Linked DNA regions of Tamandua tetradactyla. The protein of the gene in region 1 interacts with the protein of each later gene in a biochemical or structural test. Links are inferred from orthologs where the notes say so. Each region holds a gene or a part of one and is shown on either strand. Other genes may lie near its edges.

Evidence for each region. The genes of interacting proteins can lie anywhere in the genome.
Region 2: the proteins of TRIM21 (region 1) and UBE2W are reported together in a solved structure, tested with the Homo sapiens proteins (2 studies listed by BioGRID, with this or other methods). The link is inferred for Tamandua tetradactyla from reciprocal best matches to the Homo sapiens genes TRIM21 and UBE2W.

The regions. Positions count from the first base shown.
Region 1 is NC_135334.1:75,426,127-75,434,670, forward strand, and holds the start of TRIM21 (E3 ubiquitin-protein ligase TRIM21), read right to left. Parts: upstream 3,307-8,544; 5' UTR 3,102-3,306; coding exon 3,092-3,101; intron 1,860-3,091; coding exon 1,405-1,859; intron 926-1,404; coding exon 830-925; intron 1-829. UniProt on the Homo sapiens protein: E3 ubiquitin-protein ligase whose activity is dependent on E2 enzymes, UBE2D1, UBE2D2, UBE2E1 and UBE2E2.
Region 2 is NC_135332.1:117,669,344-117,677,279, forward strand, and holds the start of UBE2W (ubiquitin-conjugating enzyme E2 W), read right to left. Parts: upstream 3,467-7,936; 5' UTR 3,347-3,466; coding exon 3,332-3,346; intron 1-3,331. UniProt on the Homo sapiens protein: Accepts ubiquitin from the E1 complex and catalyzes its covalent attachment to other proteins.

The DNA.
Region 1 (8,544 bases):
GGATATGTGCAATCACAGAAATACAAGTAACTCAAAAGCCACTGTAACTCTACGTAGAAAATTGTGCCCAGTCAGAGCCTTTCACCTATTTTCCCACCCATTTCTAAAATGAAGTTTGAAAGGTTGGATTGATTGTGGATTTATGGTCAAGATAAGGTCTTAAATCAACTCTCCCAAGAGATCCTGTCATCAATGAAGTTGCTTCATTACTTTTTCCAGGTGCTCATTTTGAAAATGAACTTACTCCAATTATTCAATGTCCATCACATAAGTTGTACACATACATTGAAGCTGCTTTAAAAAGTTACTGAGATGTCCATTGTTTGATTCAACTGCAAAAAGTTGTATAATTATAAAAATTTAAAACGGACAGTCTTTTCTGTAAATATGTATTATGAGAAATAAAGAATGGCAGGACCATTGCTTTCATTAAAATATCTACTCCGATTTGGAGAGAGAAAAAAAAAAAGAAGCATAGCTGTTGGGCTTTTCTTCTGAGATACCTCTGTCAGTGAGAGGCAGCGGTGCTACCCTCTCACACGCACCCCTTTGCCAGGGACTGGGCTCAGAGGTGCAGGGGTCTTTGGGGTATGACTTGTCCTCCTCAGCATAGTCTCCCATGAACTGTCAAGATTTGTGTCTGATTAGGCCTCTGCTTCTAGCCTCTGTCTTTTTTACCTCCACCAGTTGAGGATGGTTGGTTTTTGTAGAGTGACGTATCCCTACTCTGTCACTGTTCAGACAGCTGTGCTTAGGGCCTTACTGAGCCCAGGATCTTAGATCCTGCCAGGCTTCTAATCTCAGGTCCGTTTTAGGGCATGATTCTTGCCTTCCAGGCTGTTCTCTTATTCGCAACATCCACTTCCAACTTCTCAGTCAACTCCTGCTCTTTCCTCAGCTTCTCTAAAGCGTCCTGGAGCTTCTCCTGGAGAGGAAGACAGCAAGTTAGTCCCCAAACAGACCAGGAAGTGTAGGGGGGGCGCTGTGGGATGCGGAGGTTCAGATTGGTTCTTAGAAAGGCCTGGGTACTAGAGTCTGAGTGGGGTAGGAGTTCTGCAGATGGAAGGACTTGAGCAAAAGCCTGATCTTTGCTTGCGGAATAGAGCTACACTGTTGGAGTCACGGGGGTGGGGGCGGGGGTGGGGGCGGGGGCGGAGGCGTTACTAGTTCCTAATTAACCGGGAAGCCACAAGGAAACGTGATTCTTGCAGCATTTTTCCATAGCACAGTCCCTGTTCCTGGGGACTGAGAAGATTGTGCTTAGTTTGCATTTCCCCTGGTATATTAGGCATGGAATAACCTTCCTTTCCCCAACCAGTCAACTCCAGGGGTACTTCTTGTTCATCCCCTGCTCTGGGGAGCGTCTCCTTCCCATCTGTCCATGCCTCCAGGTGAATGCCTTACCCGGTAATCCTGAGCAGCCTCTTCAATAGGGATCTTGGGGTGATCGCGGTGTTTCCGGGACTCGGCACACACCCAGCAAAGGGCTTTCCTGTCTCCCTCACAGAACAGGTGAAGTTTCTCTCCATGTACCTCGCAGTGGTCCCCCTTTGTGCCCTCCTTGGCATCTACGTTGATCTGCCGGAGGTTGTCCACCACGTTGGCTAGCTGCCTGTTAGGCCGGAGGTTCCTGAGCAGGAATTTCTTCCGGCACACGGGACAGGCAGCGCCTCCGTTTCTCCCCACCTCAGAGATGCATTCTTCGCAGAAGTTGTGGCCGCACTCAATGCTCACAGGTTCTGCTAGGGGATCGAGGCAGATAGGGCACGTGACCTCTTCCCACATCATTGCCAGGGGCTTTGCTGAGGCCATGGAGGTAACGTCCCTGCTAAGCAGCAGCACAGAGATCTTGTTTGGGACTATTGGGGAGACAAAAAAAAAGGAAAGAAGAGAGGGGTTATGGGAAATAAAAATGATTCAAAGGAAACTATAAGGGGGAGTGAACTGGAGGGGGTGAAAATAGGAAAGATGAGAACAACCTAAATAACAAAGACTCCTCCATAGTCTGGTCTGTTGATATAGTTAGAAAGAAGGGGAAACTGAGTCCACAAAAGAGGGAGAGGAAATTGTCTAGAACCTCAAAGATAAAGCTGTTTAAAATTCTTTCACCATGTCTATCGTTGCTTAAGTCCTTCAAATGGAATGATAAAGAAGGTGAAACAAAACAAAACAAGGGTGGGCCACGGTGGTTCAGCAGGCAAGAATGCTTGCCTGCCATGCCAGAGGACCCGGGTTTGATTCCCAGTGCCTGCCTATGTAAAATAAAATAAACAAAAAAACAACTCCTGATGGTTTACTATGTGCCCAGCCTGGGGCTGAGGGATGAACTCATTTAATTATATCACCTTCTCTATTTGAGGTGTGCCCACTAGGTATTTGGTTGGCGGGGAGGTCCAGGAAGGGGTTGCTGAAGTATGGGGCTCAGGCCATGGGGTCTCCAGCTTCACACAAGGACCATTTCCACCAACTGTCACTTTGGAAATTCTTGTGGTGATTTATTATAAAGATTCCCTTCAGTGCTCAGGCTTTTTCTATCCATCTTCTCCTATCCCACCAGCCCTCCATTTTGCTGAGAAGCTCATCATTATAACAGATACCATTTACTATGGCCCTTCCATCCTCCGTGTGCCAGAGAATGTGCTCCACGCTTTGCATACATCTTCATTAATCATTACAATAATGGCAGGAGTCATATACATAGAGGAGGAAGAAATTTAGGGATTTTGCTATTGAGGAACAGGGATGTGGAGTGTCCCCTGAGCTGCTGGGGAAGGGGTGGCCCCTGGGTGTACTGAGGGTGTGAGGAGGAGCAGGCAGGGGCTCCTGACAGGGACTCCTCTGAGCAACTGCAAACCTTCCTGTCTTCATTTGGGTATAGGCCAGCTCGGTCTTGAACCAGCAAGGAGCAAGTGGGGGGATGGGAGGAAAAAACATTCAGCTTCAAGGAAGGCTCCATACCTCATGCTGGGTTTCCCCAGCCGCCCGGCAGGCTAGACTAGGACCCAGCTCTTCCACCCTCACCTGCCCCCTCCCAGATCTGGCGTCAGCATCAGGGTAGCCCCAGCTTCTTCCTGGTACAAATCATACTCACTGTCCAGCATGGGAATAAGTTCTGGGCTTGGGTCCAATCAAGTCAGGAGCAGAGAAAGGACAATTCGGATAGAAGGCTCTCGGGTTGGAAGAGAATCTTCAAATCTGGGTAAGGGGAGGGAGAACAGCCCCCAGGGAGGGTCGGGCACCTTAATCTGGCCAAATTAACTCACTTTAACAGGGTAGTCACTGGACGGCAGGCGCTTATCAATTTCACTTTCGATTTCCTCTAAGCGGCAAGTCAGAAAAAAAAAAAAAAAAAAACCCAGGGGAGGAGTGTGGGCGGAGAAATGGGCGGGGAGGAGATGGAAACGGAGAGGGGCGGGGCAGGAGGAGGAGTGAAGAAGGGAAGGTAGGGAAGTGAAAGGAGTTGGGCCGGGGGAGAACGTAAGAAGGTTTCTGACAATGCCAGATTCAGGCTTCTTGGAGAAAGTTCAGCAGCAGTTCATCCTATGTGCAAGCTCGTTCCCATTAATTTAATTTAGGGGCCCCTCTCACATTTCCCCCTCCCAGCTCTGTGCAACTGAGGCTGTTTCCCTCCCAATTCCGAGGTCTGCAATTACTCTCTTCCTGTGGCTTATGGGCCCTCTTCCCTCCAGTGCAACTGCACACTCTAGAGCAGTGTCATAAGCTGCTCTGGGGGGAAACTGTCCCCTACTCGGCTGTAAGGCAGGAGCTGGGCACCCAGAAAGGCCGATCTGACGTGGTTTCTACTGTCTTCCTTCCAGTGAGCATTAGAGACACTAACTTCTGTGGATTCCTATGGTCTGAGCTGGGGGGATAGGAAAAGGGTCGGGTACCGTGGAAAGCAGATTTGGTTATACAGTTTGGCTGTCTGGGAAAGAAGACTTGGTGATAAATTAATAAATCTACCCAAATGTGCTTTCTTTGGCACTGGTCACCTTCCTGTATATAAATGCTGTGTCTGCATCTGGGTGCTGCTCCTAAAAGGGCCTGGCACTCCCTGTTATATACCACTACCTGCTTCCTGCTTCCATAAATGAATTCCTTTTCCCAAAACATGATATTCTTTCAACATCTGGGGTAAGAGATTTATTCTGCCCAACTGCCAAGCAGATATCATACCAGTGAGTGGCAAGAAGAAAACTAACATGTATTGAGGACCACCGTGTTCTTGTCACCGAGGTAGGGATTTTAGCAGGTTATATATATATATATATATATATATTTTTTTTTTTTGCATGGTCAGGCACCAGGAATTGAACCCAGGTCTCCAGCATGGCAGGGGAGAACTTTGAGGGCGAGCCACGGTGGCTCAGGAAGCAGGTATATTTTGTAGTTTACACAACAATTTAGCAAGTGAGGATTATTATTCTCATATTCAGGGAGGACAATGAAGCTGAGTGGAGTGACTTGCTTGAGTGACGTAGTAAGCAAAAGTGCACTAGAGTTAACAGTCTAGAAAAGATCCTCATTTTAGTGACAGCCCAGAGATAACTGGCTGCCCTGGCAGTTGAAGCAGAGGCTGCAGGGAGGGTTGGTTAGGGTGTGGTCACAAACTGCAGATGAGGAAGTAGAAAAGAAGGTGAGGAAATGGTGAGATTAGAAGAATTCTAAATTTCTTCCAGTTCATTCTGTGTGTGTGTGTGTTTTGTCGCTGTATAACGTAAGGTAAAAACATCAGTGAAGCTTCTCTTCATCTGTACAATAGATTTAGGAATCCTAAAAACACTTCATGCTTTAAATTTTCCAGTTCTGTTTGTAAGAGAATGTATAAGTGAAAGGCTCTCAAGTGACATCTAGTGTTCAAGCAGAATGAAAGAGTTAAAAAAAAAAAAAAAGAAAAAGCGACCAGTATTTGAATTTGCAGACACTCACAAAATGATTCTGCTTCACCTCAATGCATTCTTTGTGATTTCCTGCAGGAATTGAGTAAACCACTGTTGGGAGGTGTATGAAAAGAGCTTAGGGCTCAAAATAGAGCAGATGTGAGTTCAGTGCTGATCTTGCTATTTATTTCCTGGGTGCTCATTATTCTGAGCTTCAGCTTATTCATCTATTAAGCAGGGATATTAATATATACACCACAGGTTTATTTTGGTGCTTGTTCAATACTATGCACACAAATCAACTGGCAAAACAGATGTTATCATCTTACTAAAATAAAATAGAGGCGGAGTAGCCTTGGCCAATACCTTATCCACAAACCCAAGTAACATGATGGAAACTTGGGAGGGGCAGCCTTTCAACATAAAGTCAGTGGTAGGCAGGGCAGTAAAGCCAGCCAATCAGAAATAGTCACCTTAGGGTGGGGCATTCCATCGGGAACAGCTCAAATAAGGCAATGTAGCCTAGCTATCAAATCAGAAAGACTTACTGTATATAGGTTCCCAATTTCCGCTCCCTTCTTGGAGCTATTTGCCACTTTTGGGTTGGTGCTCCTGGATTCTGGAGTAGTTTGTTGCCCAGATAAACTTTAACAAACTTTTAAACACTGATCTTATACCCATTACCAAGGTGGAGATTAAGGCAAAGTTGATAATAATAGCTTTTCTTATACCACCCGTTCCAAATTCTTGTCACTGCCAGTACTTCAGTTTGTTCTTAACATGGCACGTGAATCTCTGGTCTTGAAGGAGCAGTATCCTTCATGTTCTTGCCTTATCGCATTAGCACACGTTGTCTTTAGCACACTGACCATTGTTACTTGATGAGAATAAGAATCTCTTCACCATATACCTTGGGTTATAGGTCCAGCCAGTCCTCCTTGCCCCACTGTGTACCAGCAACCCAAGTTTTCCTTGATAGTAGGGATGTCATTCCAGTCAGTTTGTAGGAACCCTCTACTCTGTCATCAGTGGTTTAAGAAACTCCAAATAGGCAGGGAACAGTGGCAGATTCCAATGATTGCAATCAGGTTTGCTTTCCCTAGTGGAAGGGCTTCTCTGTTATTTACTAGGGACCTACAAACCGGCAGAGTACTATGTTGTGGAGACTAAAAGGAAATATTCTGTAAATGAGTTACTTTTTAAATTTTAAAAAATATGTTAATTGGTAAAACTTAACATACGAACATTCCATACATGGTGTCATGGTCAGGTTCATGTGTCAACTTGGCCAGGTGGTGGTACCTGTTTGTCTGGTTGGGCAAGCGCCGGCCTGTCTGTTGCAATGAGGACATTTCATAGGATTAGGTCATGATCACGTCAGCTGCATCCACAGCTAATTCCATTTGTAATCAGCCAAGGGGAGTGTCTTCTGCAATGACTGATGCTTGATCTAATCACTGGAAGTCTTTTAAGGAGGATTCAGAAGAGACAGGCTCTGTTCCTGTTTCAGTTGGCAAGCCTCTCCTGTGGAGTTTGTCCAGACCCTCCATTGGAATCGTCAGCTTCACAGCCTGCCCTGCAGATTTTGGACTCCGCATTCCCGTGGTTTGTGAGACACTTTTATAAATTTTATATTTGTGAATGTTTCCTGTTGATTCTGTTTCTCTAGAGAACCGTAACTAATACGCATGGTGAACAATTAATGGTTTACAATATCATCACATAGTTGCTTGTTCATCACCATGATCATTTTTTGAACATTTGCATCACTCCAGAAAAACAAATAAGAAAAAAGAAAAAACCCATACAGACAATACCCCTTATCCCTCCCTCTCATTGACCACTAGTATTTCCATCTAGTCAATTTATTTTAACCTTTGTCACCCCTATTTTTAAATTTTTAATCCGTTTTTTGTAAATGAGTTATTAATGTGATAGAAACACGGGCCACTTTCACCTCCTTCCCTTGATTCTTTGACCAATGTGTACATATTGGATATACGTTTCAAAAAGTTACCACATATTGCTTGCTGATTTTAAGCATGTACCAGAATGTATAGGAATCGCCATCATTCTTACAGGGTGGGGTTTCCAAATTGGTGCCATAGCTGAGCCTTCAGCAGGCCATTCCACAGTTTCATTGGGCCAGCTGCTTCTGGCTGATGGGATACACTGTAAAACCAGTGCATTCCATACAGCAAGCCCAATATCAGAATTCTTTGTCTGTAAAATCAGTTGTAAGTATGCTTGGGGTACCCTGATTGTGTAAGTCTAAAAGTGGTGGTGCTGGCAGAAGCATTATAGATGGGAAAAATAAAACTGTCTTTGGAATATATACCTATTTCATAACAACAAATTTCTTTTGGTTCAATATAACTAATCTTCCACTAGAAGATTATCTACACCCTCCTAGAAATAGTGAAAAGTTGGGCTCAGAGTTGACTTTTCATATTCAGGTATCTATAGCAGCAGGGATAGAGGATGTATCTGAGGTAAATAGCATAGACTTTACCTCACCAAGGCTTATCTTTTTCCACTACTGATTTGGATGCTTGTACCTGAGTCCATTGAACAAGCAACAGGTGGCTGGGACAGAAGCTGATCATCTATCTACCTGATAGATTGCCTTCTCTGCATTGGATACTTTTTGGTAGGTATTCACATGGGACAAACATATTTTTGTACTCTGGACTGTTTTCTAGAAGTTCAACACATACTTCTCCCCATACCTCTTTATCATCAATCTCAGATAATCCTATCTGTTCAAAATTGTCAGGTTATCAGTTTATATATAGATCTGAAGGGAATAATCATTTGCTTGAAAGCTCTTCCCATTGGAAAGATTTCCCTTCATCCCTCTTTTTCAGGGTGATCTGTATTGGACACCAGTCTTATTTGCCATTTCAGAGTCTCTTGACCCTATCTTTTATTCTTAGCATCTGCTGGTGCTGGGCCATCACTACATACACATATACTGGAACTTGGATGAAACATCACACTACAGGGCATAGGATCAGATTTCTTAGCAGCTATCATGGGCCCAAATGATATGACCAAAAAAATGTGGGGAGTCAGGTCCCTGTGGAGTGAATATTAGCCAATGGGAAATAGGAGGCAGGAGAGAAGTTCACTTTTGTGCTGGATGCTGTGTAATATCTTCAGGTCTTTTAGTGTACTTATTGCATTTGCTTCTTTTATGGTCTGGCAGCACCAGTAGTCCAGTAGCATTTTAAACTAAATTAGTTGCTTGAGGATTTTAGAATCTTATAATGTGAATTCAGTCCCAGAATTCAAGTGATGGCAGGTTTCTGGTTATGGATTTTCCAGGGATGATTTGTTTTACTTTCATCACAGAGCTAAGAAGATGGCCAATCTGTTTCCTGTCTCGCTTTGTAGGACAGATTTTGTTTCTGGACTATCTTTTCACGAAGGGTTAACCTTTTAGATTTAACTACTCTTTTTAGTTTTTCTATATCTAATGATTATCCAGGACTCCTCTTAATCCAATTTTAGTAATTTAAATCTTGCCAGAAAAAAATCCATTTCATTTATATTTTCAAGTCTCTTTGTTTAATTCTTACATGGCATATTCTTAAACATCAAAAAATTCTACTCATACTTCATTCATTCATGCATTTGTTCATTTAACAAATATTTGCTAAAC
Region 2 (7,936 bases), on another chromosome or scaffold:
TTATACTTAGAGGATACTAATACTGCTGCACGTCTAAGAAATGTTTAGAAGTATATAAAAATTCACCTTTATGAAATGGTTTTGCAGTGTGGGGACAGAAAGACTGTACCAAATAAAGTCCCTAATATGTTCAAACTAAAACAAATCTTCCATTTGTTTCTAGGAATACCAGAATTAAGTATAGATCTATTTCTTTAGTCTAACTCCTGCCAACATTAAATATCACCATAATTACACTTCTTTATGAATGTTTTTTTAAAACACAATCAAACCAATCTTACTCAATCTTACTTAGTGATTTGTGACTTTGTTTACAGGAAGAAAAGGGTGAGGAGAATGTCTCAAAGGGCTCACCTAACTCTGAAAACTACTACCCCAAAATGAATATTGAACTCTAGCAATACAACATATAGCAGAGCTTCCCTAGCATTACAAGTGTGCTGGTGTATTTATTTCCCTGATTCCTGGTGTTTGGGGTGGGGGTGGGGGACTGGAGCTGTGAGACCAGGTGCTTTCAGGCCTCTAATAAACCAATTCATCTTAGTGTGTTATTCAAAAATTATTTTTTATGTGTGGCATGACCTGAAAAATGGTTGGAAAGCACTGATACAGTGCATTAAGGCAGTCACAACCTCACCTTCTAAGATACATACTTTCCAATAAGAAATCAAGTCTACCCTTGACTTGGTTTATTCCATACTTATCAATTCAAATAATCAAATCCCATGTTACATTTGTATCATATGCATATGTTTTTAAAAGACAATTCCTCTTACAGCTTAAATACCCTCTTCTTTAGCAGCAGTAATACCTGGTGTGGGTGAGACAAAGAAATGTAGTAGCTTTTTAGTTAAGGATATGATCAACACAGCATTCCACATTATACCATACTTTTTCCTAAGACCCTAACCAAAATTCCAAAAATACCCATTTCCTAACCCACTTTCATGCTTAATTTTTCTCCATAGCATTTACCACCTTCTAATATGACACAATCTAAATTCAAATATTTTATTGTCTGTCCCCCTGACTAGAGCATCTCGTCAGTTTTTATTCACTGCTGTATCCCCAAGCACCTAGATGAGTGCTAGACATACAGAAAGCCCTAAAAAAATAATTGCTGAGTGAATCAATAAATTTAGTAATTTGGTTGGAGCTTTATGTGTAATTTAGTTTGTTTTGAAGAGTTAAACTTTGCTCTTAAAGTTTTAATAAAACTTTTTTGTTCATCAAAGACAGAACTGTACACAAAAAGCTCACACACAGAAATAAGTGTTTCAGAAAGCTTGTTTATCTGTATTAAAATATGCGAGGATACTACCAGAAAACAAATAAAAGAGAAAGACTTGATTTTATTTTAATTAAAATAGAAAGGGTCAGTTTTCCATTCCTCTAATCAGAAGACAGTAAGGAATAAAGAAAGGTGATAAAACAGTCCAACGTTTGGGACATAGAAAAAATGCAATAATGCACTGGCAAGTTATTTTTCCCATTGCTTAAGTGCCCATATAAAATTCAAGATAATCAACATTAGGTTCTGTGTCAACTCATTTTTTCTCTTAAAAACTGTAATCTTAGAAAATCTAACCAGTTATCCCTTGAGTTACCAACCCTATATACTAAGCTCTCCTGTCAAATACAATCAACACTGTTATGAATTTTAACCTTAAATTTTTAGTCTTATAACGAATGTTTTAATCTTAATGCAAATAATCTTAAATTGGTTATGCAGCCCATCTACTGCTCAACTTAGAAGCGTTCCATAGTTCCTTTTTTAGCTTCAAATGATGAAACTTCTCTAACGTCTCTGGGGAGATAGTGTATGTTTCCTGAAATTGTGTTCATTTTTTCCTTGCACTTTTTTGCAACATCTCTTCAACCAGAAATGTTATATACAATTTCTTCTCTGTTCTGAAGTGCAACGGAAGGAGCAAAGGTAAAGAATAGAAAACATACTGAAAAGGAATAAAAGCAATAAAGTAAATATGAAATGAGGTCTACACAAAGAGGAAGAAGTTGCAAAAAAGAGAGAAGAAAAACACTGCTTTAGCCAAGAAAAGCAGGGGGAAAAACTAAGGAGTAGAGAGACTTGCTTATTCTTTTGAAACAAACAAAAAAATCCTTCTAAGAAAACTGTGATCTCCTTCTTCATTTAGGGAACGTTTTTAAAACTCTAAAAAGCATTCGGTGGACAGCCCTAAAAGGAATTCTACCTTCTCTTCCCATACGTTTTGACACCACTCATCTTAATCTATGAAACAAATGCAGGCTACAGATAATGCAGGCAAATCTCTACAAAACTACAACTGTGGTTGCCATCTTTGCCTGGAAACCCAAACTCCTCTTTGGGTTTGGAAAAAAAAGAGTAAATTAAGTTTGAAAGCCAAAAAAAAAAAAAAAAAACAAAAACCACGCACTGCCAAGACAGATAAAATACAGGTTAACAATCTCCTACCAAACCAAAGGTTCCACTAAAAGTCTGGGGAAAAGGGCAAAGGGCTGTATAGCCTTACCGCGACCGCAAGGGTGGGGCATCGCAGGGGAAAAAAAATTATTCTAGGGCAAGCTATCCCAAGAGGTATAATAAAAGGGGCTAGTGACTCCCCGCCCTCGGGAAGATCGCAAATTAGGAAGCCAAAGAAGTTAATGGAACCAAGGGCAGCTTTGGGGATAAGGGAGTGAGAAAGTGGACGGCAGGAGTGTAGTATCAGTGTGAATGCAGAGACAGAGAGAAGAGGGTACCCAGCCGGCAAGGGATTACACGGGAGGAGAGCTGAGGAGCCGAGCAGTCAGGGAGTCCTGGCGTGGGAGGCCTGAGCCGAGGCCGCAAAGCCCAGTGAGCAAGCAGCCGCCTTCTGCGGGAACGCCTTTTCAGTTCCCTCAGTCTCAGCCCTTCTCAGGGCTGCCGCTGCCCAGGCGACAACGGCGAGAACAGCTGTTTCCGCCCGGCTGGGAACCGCGAAGGAAAAGGCATCTCTTGGGTGGGCAGGCCGGCGGTCGACTCAGACCATTTGTGTTGTGGGGGTGAGGGAGGAGGCGATTCCAAGACCACAGCCGCAATGCAAACGCCAAACTTCGCCGTTTCCTCCCCTAGCCCTTCTTCATCCCCCAACTTCCCGGCCGGCTGGTGTCCGCTTCGACCGACCGAGATACCCCCTCCGCCCTCCTCTCGTTGCTTCTCACTCCTCCCCGAAGCTGGGGAAAGACCGGCCATAAGGGCCGCTCCCGAGCCGCACGGATACTCCTCAAGCCCTGGGCGGCACCCTGGGCCGAAGGCTCACACCCTCTCCGCGGCTCCTTCGCCCGCCCAGATGCAGCAAACTCCTCTTACCTGCATTGACGCCATGATGGAACCATCCCCCCCAGGGCCGGCGAGGCCTGAGACGCAGGGGGCGGAGCTGCCGTGCTCGCGTCACGCCGCGGGGGCCCAGCATCCTGGGCTCGGGGGTGTGTGGCCTCCAATGGGGAGGAGACGGAGCGACCGGATTGGTTGGTGCGGGGGCACCCAGAGGGGCGAGGGAGGGGAAGGGCGGGGGCGGAAAAGGGTGAGAAGGGGAGGGCAGGGGCGGGGCGCGGTAAACGGCGTTGTAGGTGCTGAAGATTGCTGCCGGCTAGTCGGCGTCCGCTCTAGTCCACCCCTAGCCAGAGCGCTGAAGAAGCGTACACCGGCTTCTGGCCCGCCAAGCCGTGGTATTGCTTTTTCCGTCTATGCCCCGAGATCTTGGTGATGAGCGGATCGGTGGGTTTTTCTGATTCGTTTAGTTTTTCCAACCACAGGTGTAAGATTTACAGGTTTTCCCCCTTGAATGTCTTTCCACTCCGTTGATACCGCTGGGCTTGATAGAACTCTCTGCGGGTCTGCTTTTTTTTTTTTTTTTCCTTGACCAACCTGGAAGGCTTCTCATATTCCTAATTTGGGAAAGAGACACAGAATAGAGAGCAGAGATAACACCCTGATGTTTTAAAGGCAAAGATATTTTGCATTTGTAAAAGTAAAACGACAGAGAGGCGAGAAAAATATGCAGTTTTTCTTCTGTTCGTGTGTGATTTCCACTCCCGTACCCCACCCCCTCAGTTTTAAAGTGCATATGTATCCATAGCTAGGGTTGCTATGGCAGTTTGCCTAGAGATTTGGCCCTGGGCGTGAAAATATATATATGTGTGCATATACCAGCGTCTAGGTATAATATGCACTTAGACCTGTCGCATCCGGAATTTTCTCTCAACCTAACTTTCATGGTAGTCCAATCTAGGAATGTGTTGGGTAGGGAACGTGTACATAATTTATTCTAGGAATGCTCCAGTTCTGCCAACATTTATGAGAAGCCACGTTTTGAAGCGCTATCCCAAAACTGAAGTGTCACTGATTTGTAAGAGGAAAGTGGAAGCAAAAGGCTTATACCTCGTGTTCTATCGCTAAAAAATTAAGGTGGCTGATAACATTTTTTTAGAAGGCTTTTTACCAGAATGAAAGTTTGAAGTCTGTTATTTTGAGTCGCTTTTTTGAAATTTCTGTAATTTAAAATCCAAATATAAGAGCAGTGTAGAATGTCATCCTCTGCACTCTTTCAAATGGATTATGTTCTGTAGTTTGAAATGTGTTCAAAAACGAAAAAAAATCTTTAAAATATACCACACCTTCTATGGTATAATATTAAACCCACAGTGTTCTTCATCGTTGGAAAGGTTTATTGGTGTACTCATTTGTCTGTCAGATTTCCACCCTATGATCAGAAATGGTCTGGGTTTTCCTTTGTTGCACAAAAAAAATGTGTCATTGAGAATGTTTGGATGCTTTTGACACCCAGGAATCATCCAGGAACATATCAAGTGTTAAGCCAATTACTTTGTTAACATTACAACAGTGAGTAAAACCTACATGCCAATGAAAGAGGAAAGCCCCGTGGAAAAAGTCCCCAGGTGTGTTTTCTTCTAGAATTCTTCATCCCCATGTTCTCAGAGAATTGCTCTGGAAGATCAGGTTTTACCATCTGAGGTTCACTTTGTTTAAAAGCTGATTCTTTAAAAAAAAGCTGATTCTTCCTAAAGCTTTAAGTGACATCAGATGACTCCACAAACAAAGCATTATGGCATCATCAAAGCCAACAACCTGCCATGACAGGTATTAATAAGGAAGAAAAGAGGCTACTGGAATCCTACTCTTTATAGTAGAACCAACATCTGGTTCCGTGGGGGGTTTTTTTGGTTTTTTTTTTTTTTTGGTTGCTTGGGTTTTATATGTGTTAGAACAACCTTCAAAGGGGAAGAAAAGTCAGTATCAGTCATATCCTTGCTAGCAAATACTAAATAGCACATGATTACCTGCAATATCTTCATTCCCTCATCAACATAATAGAAAGGTCCTTATGCACACAGGAGCTAAAAAACATGACTTTCAGATGGAAGAGAGGTATATAATTATCCCCAGGGAGCATGAATTTTTTATATTTATGTAGTGCATCTCATTGGTTATATAATGCATTTCACTTCTTGACAGAGCGGGACTTAATATCAGGCAAAAATGAAAATGTCTGACAAACTAAAAATGAGAAAGGAAGTGGAACTATCATAAACTCTGTAGGAAATATATTGGTACAGTCACTTTAAAAAAACAATTCAGCAATAGGGAAGTTGAAGTTTCCACTGTCCTTAAAGAATCTTTTTAATAGCATCATGTTTCAGTTTGCTAAATCTGCCAGAGTGCGATATGCCAGAAATGGATTGGCTTTTACAAAGGGGATTTATTAGGTTACGAATTTACAGTTCTAAGGCCATGAAAATGTCCTTCCAGAGAAAGATAACTTGACTCTGAAGAAAGGCCTATGGCATCCGGGGTTCCTCTGTGACATGGGAAGGCACATGGCAATGTCTGCTGGTCTCTCTCTCCAAAATGTCTCTGATAGCTTCTGTCTGTCCTTGCTTGCCCTTCCCAGGGCATTTCTGTCTCTGAGCGCTCTCCAAAATGTTTTTGCCTTTTACTTTCCTATAAAGGAAGTGGTAAAGATGATTAAGACCCATCTTGAATTGGGGGGGTCACATCTCCATGGAAACAACCTAATCAAAAGGTCCCACTCAACAACAAGTCTGCACCCACAAGGATGGATTAAAAGAACATAGGCTTTTCTGGCAACAAATTCAAACCAGCATACATCATTTGTGATACAAGCCAACTATAAAGAGACATTTTTGAGACAACTGAGGAAATGTTAGCTCAGAATGGATATTACATGATATTAAAGAATTGTTATTTTTCTTAGATTTGATAATGACATTTTAAAAAAAATTTCCGTGGCAATTAGAAATGACCATCAGGTTGCATGAATAGGATTTTCCTTCGTCTCACACATTGCTTCTGCCTCCACCTCCCTGGAAGGAAAAAAAAGGCAGGATATGCACAGTAGTAACATTGTGAGACCACTGGGTAAATGCTGCAATATTGATGATGCAGTGCAATTTATGAGTGCTTGAATTGTGGTGATTCACTGGACTGGAGAGTCTGGGGCAGTGCTTTGAGGATGTGCTTGTTGGAGCATGAAGAGTCAGAGTTGATGAGTCCCTGCTTGAGTGTATATCTCCGCAGAGTAGTTTATTCATAGTCCTCTAGTTTATGATCTTACCAGAGAAATGGAGGCATTCAGCAATCAACAGCTTATTTATTGGATGCTGGAAAAGGCACTAAACTTAATATTGTGATATTTAATTTTTTATTTCTGATCTTTTGAGTGTTCTATATTTTGAAAATGCATGTATAATCCTTTTAATAATAACAAAATTATTTCAAAATGACAAAAAAAAAAAAGAAAAAAAGTCACCAAACTAATCCAAGTCTCATATTTTTTGCCCCAGATCTATCATCAACAAGCTTGGGTAAGGCTCTTTCTGGGTTTATTTCTTTATCAATAAAATTAGCAAGTCAGACAAGTCAGACTGCATAATCTTTAAGGTTCCTTCCATATTTCAAATTCCATGTATCTATTAAAGGGAATAAAAATTTTAAATGATTTCTGTACAAAATACCATGCTAAAGAAGTCTGAGAGAAAATGCAATCGGAATGATATACTGTTTTGAGTTTTTAAAAAAACCTTTTGTAAATGATAAGGAATGAATTTTGCTTCATTGTAATTTATGTAGAAATATTGGTGGGGGGGTTTAGTTAACAATTTTTTAATATTAATATATTCCAATTGAGCCTCTAGATGAGATTTCATAAAGTAGCAAAAATTCCAAATTCACTATTTATAATGACACTTTAAGAAAAGCATGTCTGCAAAGCATTTGTATTATTTTTTATAATTTTGAACCAAAGCCGGTCATATGACTCTCCCAATAAAAGATGAAGAAAATTAACAAAATAACAAATGGTTTGTATGTGTAACTTAATCTGACTTATTCTCCATGTGAAAATAGTTTATTTACATGCATGCATGGGTTTGGAGATAAAATTGTGAATCAGGAGGACTTCACTTTCTCCCCTTTCCTTACCTCTCTCTAGGAAGAGTTCTTGACCCAGACCTGCAGCCGTTAGCATATTCCTTGCTTATTTCTCCCCCAGACTTCTTTCCAGACATATTCTTAGCGATGTATTAGTTGAATAGCTGTACAGTAGTTCCTTTTGCTTTTTTTCTTTCTGCTCTGGACCCCATTAAAATCAGGTGAAAGCCATGGACCCACCCATCTGCCCCCACACGCACCCCCACAGAAAACTATGTATTATCAGTGAAATGTATTTCAGGGAGTTCCTTGGCCTGATGAAGTTCCTCCATAGCAGAGGTTCGAGAACCTCAAGAACATTTTTAGGGAAAAGTTAACAATGGATGCTAGGTCGGTCTCTTCCAAAACCTGTCTATCTTTTATGTAGAAATAGTAATTTCATAATACTCTTTTTCTTTTTGCTTGCTTGTTTGATTTCTAGTGAAGACAGGATACTGTGTGAAA